Nothobranchius furzeri: one gene and its partner. The protein of the gene in region 1 binds, or shares a complex with, the protein of each later gene. Links are inferred from orthologs where the notes say so. Each region holds a gene or a part of one and is shown on either strand. Other genes may lie near its edges. The genes, in order: ncaph and smc2.

The links.
Region 2: ncaph (region 1) and smc2 share a complex: the UniProt entries of both Homo sapiens proteins name them as parts of the condensin complex. The link is inferred for Nothobranchius furzeri from reciprocal best matches to the Homo sapiens genes NCAPH and SMC2.

What each region holds. Positions count from the first base shown.
Region 1 is NC_091757.1:27,697,315-27,701,138, forward strand, and holds part of ncaph (condensin complex subunit 2), read left to right. Parts: intron 1-964; coding exon 965-1,071; intron 1,072-1,267; coding exon 1,268-1,387; intron 1,388-1,998; coding exon 1,999-2,106; intron 2,107-2,300; coding exon 2,301-2,447; intron 2,448-2,598; coding exon 2,599-2,709; intron 2,710-2,831; coding exon 2,832-2,911; intron 2,912-3,085; coding exon 3,086-3,161; intron 3,162-3,567; coding exon 3,568-3,627; 3' UTR 3,628-3,824. UniProt on the Homo sapiens protein: Regulatory subunit of the condensin complex, a complex required for conversion of interphase chromatin into mitotic-like condense chromosomes.
Region 2 is NC_091747.1:76,184,885-76,188,708, forward strand, and holds part of smc2 (structural maintenance of chromosomes protein 2), read left to right. Parts: intron 1-61; coding exon 62-255; intron 256-354; coding exon 355-498; intron 499-3,824. UniProt on the Homo sapiens protein: Central component of the condensin complex, a complex required for conversion of interphase chromatin into mitotic-like condense chromosomes.

The DNA of each region.
Region 1 (3,824 bases):
AAGCTTAAGTATTTAATTCAGCTAGCTCAGTAGTAAAAAGTGATGGACTGTATGGTAGCGCTGATGCCTCACAGTGAAAAGGTCACAGGTTCGACTCCCAGCTGCAGCATTTCTGTGTGGAGTCAGCATGTTCTCTGTCTCTGTGGATTCCCCGGGTTCCTCCCACAGACCCAAAACAATTAGGTTACCTGGAGACTCTACACTGCCCCTAGGAGTGAGTGGATACCTGTGTCTGAGTGTCTCTGTGAGAGACTGGAGACCTGTCCAGGATGCCCCCCTCACACACACACACACACACTTACACTCTGCAGGCAAAAGTGCATCTTAGTTTTCTCCCCACGTGTGAGCCGTCCGTGTGTGTTCATGACCGTCTGAACAGTACAGACCTGACCCAGGTCACTTTCATGTGTGGTCCTGCATCTGATGTTTTTGAAAGTGACGAGCCTGAACGTTACATCCATCATACGTCACTGACCCGGTGACCATGAGAATCGTGTGTTTGCATTCTTCAGTGGAGGAGCTGGCAGTTATTCAGGGGTCTGTTGTGGATGAATGAGAACCCCGCCACACCTCAGCACAGCGACAGCTGCAGCTCCACTGAAGGCTGTTGTTCTCATTGTCCTTTCTCTAATTAATTAGTTAAAGTGTGTTTGGCATTTCCCACACAGCTGGAGACGAACAGCATCTGTAGCACTTCTGTAAACGAAGCACATCCGGCCTTCTGCACATGCGGGTCTCTTTAGGGCCGTGACACGTTCAGTGTAAATGCAGCCTTACACACCACGTCCCTGCTAACAGAGGTGGAGACAACACATTCACTCATAAATACACTTTTACTTTGACACTGGACACGTCTGCTGTTTGTCTCTGTGTGTAAAGAGTAGTCCTGGTTACTTCTGTGGGTCATGAACGGCTCTCCCATCGGAGACAGCTGTGTGGAGTAACCATGTCTCATCTGCTGCAGTGGATCACATGCCTGACAAGGAGACACGCAAGAGGAAGCCTAAGAAGATCTATGAAATGGATTTTAACGATGATGTCGACTTTGATACTTTCTTCCGCACCACGCGGGTAAAGACCTTTGACCCTTCTTACTTCCTGTACAGTTTAGACGCCTTTACTCTGTTCTTGATGATGATATCTGGTGTTTTTCATCAGGCTGTGATGCAGCTGCTGTCCTGATGACTGTAGCCATGTCAGCCACAAGCATGATTACTGGTATCAGATTTAAAGAAGAAATGCTGACATTTCCTCTTTCTCCTCACAGGCAGCCACCACTAACAGCAAATCAGCCCTCAGCGCCTGCAGCAAAAAAACCACTCTGCCGGCCAGTTTCCAGTTCCCCCCAGAGACACTGTCCCAGCTCAGCCTCAAACCCTCCAGCTCGGTGAGACCTGCTGGTTCTGGCTAAGTAAACACCAGAAATGATGGTGTTAGGAAGTCCACCTAAGAGCCTGCTGCAGGGCGGGTGTGCATCTTTGGTTCTGCCACAAATGGTACAGTGATCCCTCGTTTACCGCGGTAGATGCGTTCCAGACCTGGCCGCGACAGGTGAACATCCGCCAAGTAGGGACACCATATTTACAGTATTTATTTAACAGGTACGTACAGTATTCAGACTTTTAAAACCCTCCCTTTACATAGTACTGTTAACAAACCACCCTTTAATGTACATTTTATGATGAAATTGATGAAAAAAAAAACAGGAATTTCTTGATATTTCGCATAGAAAAATACCGCGAATTGGCGAATTTCCCTTGAATAAGGCTCCAAAGAAAAAATCCGCGATAAACGAACCGCGAAGTAGCGAGGGATCACTGTACTGGTACCAGTGTGTGTTTGCATGCAGAGTTGGGGATAACCATCAGTGGAAACTGGAGAGGCTTTTTCTCCCAGAACATTTCAGGAATCTTCTCTGGCATCCCAGACAGCAGATGGGCTGCTGTAGGCCTGTGATGGTGGTATGTCACTAGTTATGTTTCTTCTGTCCCACATTAGTTGTGTCAAGAGAGTGAACGGAGGCTGTCTGGGGAGCTGGGAGAAGGCATCGGTGATTATGATTACAACAACGCCAACGATACCATCAACTTCTGCCCAGGGCTCCAGGTCTGACGCTCGCCTTCTGATTCCTTTCGTCAGTTTAGTCTTTACTGTAGCAGACCTGGTGACATGGTCAAATGATGTGCTGGTCCCTGCGGGGAGGTTGCTGCAGCAGCATTTGGGTTTTCCCGTTTGATGCCTGCTGCTTGTGCAGAACCCGGTGTGACAGATGTGCCTCCATGGGCTGGCTCTTCTTTTAGGACGGTGACAGTGACGATGATGATGTGAATGCATTTGCTGCTTCAGGCGATGCTCCGCCTCCAGGTGAGGGAATTCCATTGCCGTCTGAAGACCCAGCGGGTGTGTCCACATACAGGGAGGAGGATCTGGTACCAGAACCACACAGGGTGGGTAAAGCTGTGATATCTTCAATACAGAAGAAAATAGTAAATGAAGAAACCAAAGCTGCTGATTACTCCTCGTTAAATGTTAATTTAATAACAGTTTTGCCCTTGAATGAAACAGGAAACATTTGATTAGCTGTTTTTGCTTGTTTAGGTGAACAAAATTGAAATCAACTATGCCAAGATGGCAAAGAAAATGGACATGAGGAGACTCAAAAACAGCATGTGGACTCTTCTGACTGAAAGTCCAGAGAAACAGACGGAGGTAGGTAACTCCGTGTTAAGGTCATTCAGTTGGAAGGATGGAGGGGAGTGGAGGCCCCGCGCAGGTCCGGCTGATCCTGTGGGTTCAGGTCTGTTTTATCGGTTCTGCCTTCATGTTCTCAGCAGGTGAAGGAGACCGCAGAGGCACCAGAAGTGTGTGGAGAAAAAGTCTTCAGTCAGACCACGAAGAACCTGCTTCAAAGGTAGCAGCCTCCCTCCTGTTGCTGCTGCTTAAGAGGAATAATGACCACCAGCAGCCTCGTGCTGCGTGAAAATCACAAAGAACTGACGAGTGTTTCTCGTCTCTTGTAATCATGGAAGTTAAAACTTAATGTTTCCACATTTGTTCTCTTCTCTGTCTGATTGTTTGGGTCCAGATTGCCGAGTATGTTGGCTCAGAACCTGTCCGTGCCGCTGGCGTTTGTAGCTCTGCTTCATCTGGCCAATGAGAAGGTGAGGGTTGTTAAAACGTGGACTGGTGGTCAATACACACACCAGAATAAAGTATTGATGCACTCTGACATAATCAGTTCTGTCTTTGGTGCCGGAGATCTTTGTGAGAACCCACTGTCAGCTACAGGGGTTCAAGCTTCTGTATTTTTATCAAAAACCAGCTGAGATGCAGCTTGTAGTTTTAGTTCAGTGAAGCGCTGATGGAGGATTTTTATCGCTTTGGACAGCAGACCGCTGGACTGTCCAGCGTGTGCTGCTGGTGAGTGCTATAACACCCAACACACACTCTGGTCAACAGATCTGCTCATGAAGAACTCAGAACACCAAAGGCCTGAATTAACTCCAACCGCATCGTCAACAATGCACCTTACACGTGTGTGTGTGTGTGTGTGTGTGTGTGTAACAGAATTTGGAGCTGGTGAAGGTTGACGACATGTCTGATATCATCATCAGACAAGGCCAATGAGGAGGTCAACGGCAGAAGATTCAGATTTTCTTTGTCATGTTTTACTTCACGTCTGTTTTCTCACCCTTTACAGTGTTTACGTGAGAAGAAAGGAATATTCTTCTGTTCTTTAAAGTAGCACACGACTTTGTTCTGTACTCACATTTTACAAAAATAGATGTCAGAAGAAATGTTTTTTAATAAACCTGGTGGATATT
Region 2 (3,824 bases), on another chromosome or scaffold:
TTGGCTGAAATACTCTGGATGGTTTTGTGCTAAAGAAATGTGTGTGTGTTTGTCTGACCAGAGGAGAGCGAAGAGACCTTACGAGTCACCAAAGAGGTCCAGAAGCGGGCCGAGGAGAAATACAAGGTGCTGGAGAACAAAATGAGAAACGCCGAGGCTGAGAGGGAGAAGGAGCTGAAGGCCGCCCAGCAGAAACTCAACGCAGCCAAGACCAAAGCTGATGCCTTCAGTACCAAGTTAAAGCAGAAACAGCAGGTGTGATGGTGGAATATTTAAAAAGTCTCATCTGAAGGATCTGGTGTCCATCGTGTCTTGATACATGTTGAGTATTCTCTGATCTGTGTTCTTGCTCAGGAGTCTGATGCTGTGGCTCTGGAGCTGGAGGAGCTGCAGCGGGAGCAGGCGGGTTACGAGCAGCAGATCCAGGCTGTAGACGAGGCCACGAAGGCCATCCAAGAGCAGATAGACAGCATGGCCTGCACCGTGTCGCAGAACAAGGTGTGTGTGTGTGTGTGTGTCTGACTCCACAGTGACTGCGAACATATTCAGTTGTTTTTGTTAGTAGATCACTTCAACAATGAAAATATTCTGACTATCATTAGCCAAACATTTCTGTTCAAGCTAACCTGCACCCATTAGCTGCAAGGTTTTATCTGAATGCAAAGCAGGATGTTGAAATAAGTCATCAACTTCCTGATGGCAATCCTATTTAGAAAACGGATAGCTTTTGTAGACATTTTGTCTCACAGATAAATGTGAAAGTTTTTGAATAAGATAAACAAGCAAAAATGAAATTTCTGCATGAGGATTAAAATTAATAATGGTTCAGCATCCTGTTACTCTTTCTAATTTATTACTTGGTGCTGTTACTTATGTTTTTTACTTTATTTTATTTAAAACTTTATGTTCTACTTCCTGCTTTATTTAAAGTTAGGGTTGGATCTTCTTGAAACATCTCCAGATTAGACCTGGGACGATAACAAATTTTGCTTGATGATTTACTGTATTGTCCAAAAGAGAAATTTGACGATTAACAATATTATTGTAGACATTATCAAGACCAAAACAACTTATTTAATGTTAATATATCATAATAATTAGGGCTGTAAGAAAATATTGATATGACAATATGTTGTGATATTTTTTCCAGCGATATTATATCGATATTTAAAGCCGTTTATCAAATTTCTGGAAGAATTGACATGTAAACGTTTGTGTATTTTTTTTCTTTTGGTGCAATTCAAACACCGACCACCAGTGGGCAATGGTGTGCAATGGGATTAGTTTCCACTGTTGAAATACAAATCTGTTATGGTTCAGATACCTCGTGTTAAAGACGTTAAGTATTAGTTTGGACTGTTGATTGAATCTTCTTACAATAAATAAATCAATAATAACGTCTGACTGAATGTATCGCAATATATTGTGATATATTGTATCGTCTCCCCTGTATCGCGATACGTATCATATCGCCATTTCACTCAGTTAGAAAATATTGCACCAAAAACATGAAAATAGACCGTTTTTTTTTTCTCTCAAAACAATACAGGTGCTGGCCAGTAAATTAGAATATCATCAAAAGGTTGAAAATATTTCAGTAATTCCATTCAAAACGTGAAACTTGTACATTATATTCATGCAATGCACACAGACCAATGTATTTCCAATGTTCATTACATTTAAATTTGATATTCATAAGTGACAACTAATGAAAACTCCAACTTTGGTATCTCAAAAAATTAGAATATTCTGAAAAGGCTGAATATAGAAGACACCTGCTGCCACTCTAATCAGCTGATTTACTCAAAACACCTGCAAAGGCCTTTAAAAGGTCCCTCAGTCTTGTTTTGACGGCACCACAATCATGGGGAAGACTTCTGACTTAACAGCTGTCCAAAAGACAATCATTGACACCTTGCACAAGGAGGGCAAGACACAAAAGGTGATTGCTAAAGAAGCTGGCTGTTCGCAGAGCTCTGTGTCCAAGCACATTAACAGACAGGCGAAGGGACGGAAAAAATGTGGTAGAAAAAAGTGTACAAGCTCTAGGGATAACCGCACCCTGCAGAGAATTGTGACGACATACCCATTCAAAAATGTGGGGGAGATCCACAAAGAGTGGACTGCAGCTGGAGTCAGCGCTTCAAGAACCACCACGAGGAGACTCATGAAAGACATGGGATTCAGGTGTCGCATTCCGTGTGTCAAGCCACTCTTGAACAAGAAACAGCGCAAGAAGCGTCTCGCCTGGGCCAAGGACAAAAAGGACTGGACTGATGCTGAGTGGTCCAAAGTTATGTTTTCTGATGAAAGCAAGTTCTGCATTTCCTTTGGAAATCAAGGACCCAGAGTCTGGAGGAAGAGCGGAGAAGCACAGAATCCACGTTGCATGAGGTCCAGTGTAAAGTTTCCACCGTCAGTGATGGTGTGGGGTGCCATGTCATCTGCCGGTGTTGGCCCACTCTGTTTCCTGAGGTCCAGGGTCAATGCAGCCGTCTACCAGGAAGTTTTAGAGCACTTCATGCTTCCTGCTGCTGACCAACTTTATGGGGATGCAGACTTCACCTTTCAACAGGACTTGGCACCTGCACACAGTGCCAAAACCACCAGCACCTGGTTCAAGGACCATGGTATCCCTGTCCTTGATTGGCCAGCAAACTCGCCTGACCTTAACCCCATAGAAAATCTATGGGGTATTGTGAAGCGGAGGATGCAATACGCTAGACCCAACAATGCAGAGGAGCTGAAGACGACTATCAGAGCAACCTGGGCTCTCATAACACCTGAGCAGTGCCACAGACTGATCGAGTCCATGCCACGCCGCATTACTGCAGTTATTGAGGCAAAAGGAGCCCCGACTAAGTATTGAGTGCTATACATGCACATTCTTTTCATGTTCATTCTTTTCAGTTGGCCAACATTAGAGAAACAAACATTTTTTCATTGGCCTTTAGAATATTCTAATTTTCTGAGATACCAGATTTGATGTTTTCATTGGTTGTCACCTATAAATATCAAAATTAAACGTAATAAACATTGGAAATACATTGGTCTGTGTGCATTGCATGAATATAATGTACAAGTTTCACGTTTTGAATGGAATTACTGAAATATTTTCAACCTTTTGATGATATTCTAATTTACTGGCCAGCACCTGTACATACAATGTGTCAGCAACCCAAAACTGCACTTCAATAATAATAATAGTTTTCTTAACCTCGATATATGAGGCTGGAAAAATTGAGTACTTCATTTTCATCTGCCGTATGATTTACTGGTTATCGTCCCAGCCCTATTCCAGATTAAACTGGTCTGTTCTTCACACAGCTCAGGTTGTTTGTGTTCCAAAGCTTTAATCTCTAGAAATGAGTCAGATTAGCCGTTTGTGTCTGCTCTGTCTGAACAGCCAGTTAAAGAGTAAGTCACCCCCTACAAGAAACTTACTTAACTCCCTCTTCATGTTTGAAAAATGCAACAAATGCTGTTGCCTGGCAGACAGAGAGGGCGGAGCCACTAACCAATACACACACAGGCTCACAACGGCATTGTGACATCATAATGTACCAGTTTACATCATAGCATACCTCTTAGCCAATAGCGGTGGCAGATTTAAATTCTAATACAGTGCAGAGTCTTTACCTGACAACGGCGCAACACTGACAGTTTTAGGCAGAATATTTAAATTTTAACTAAGATGCACTGAAGTGCCAAATTATTGACGACACGTGTCTGCAGCACAATTAGACACACATTTATATAGTTTATCAGCCAAAAAAGTTGATTTGGGGGTGACTTGCTCTTTAAGCTTTTCTAGATATAAAAAT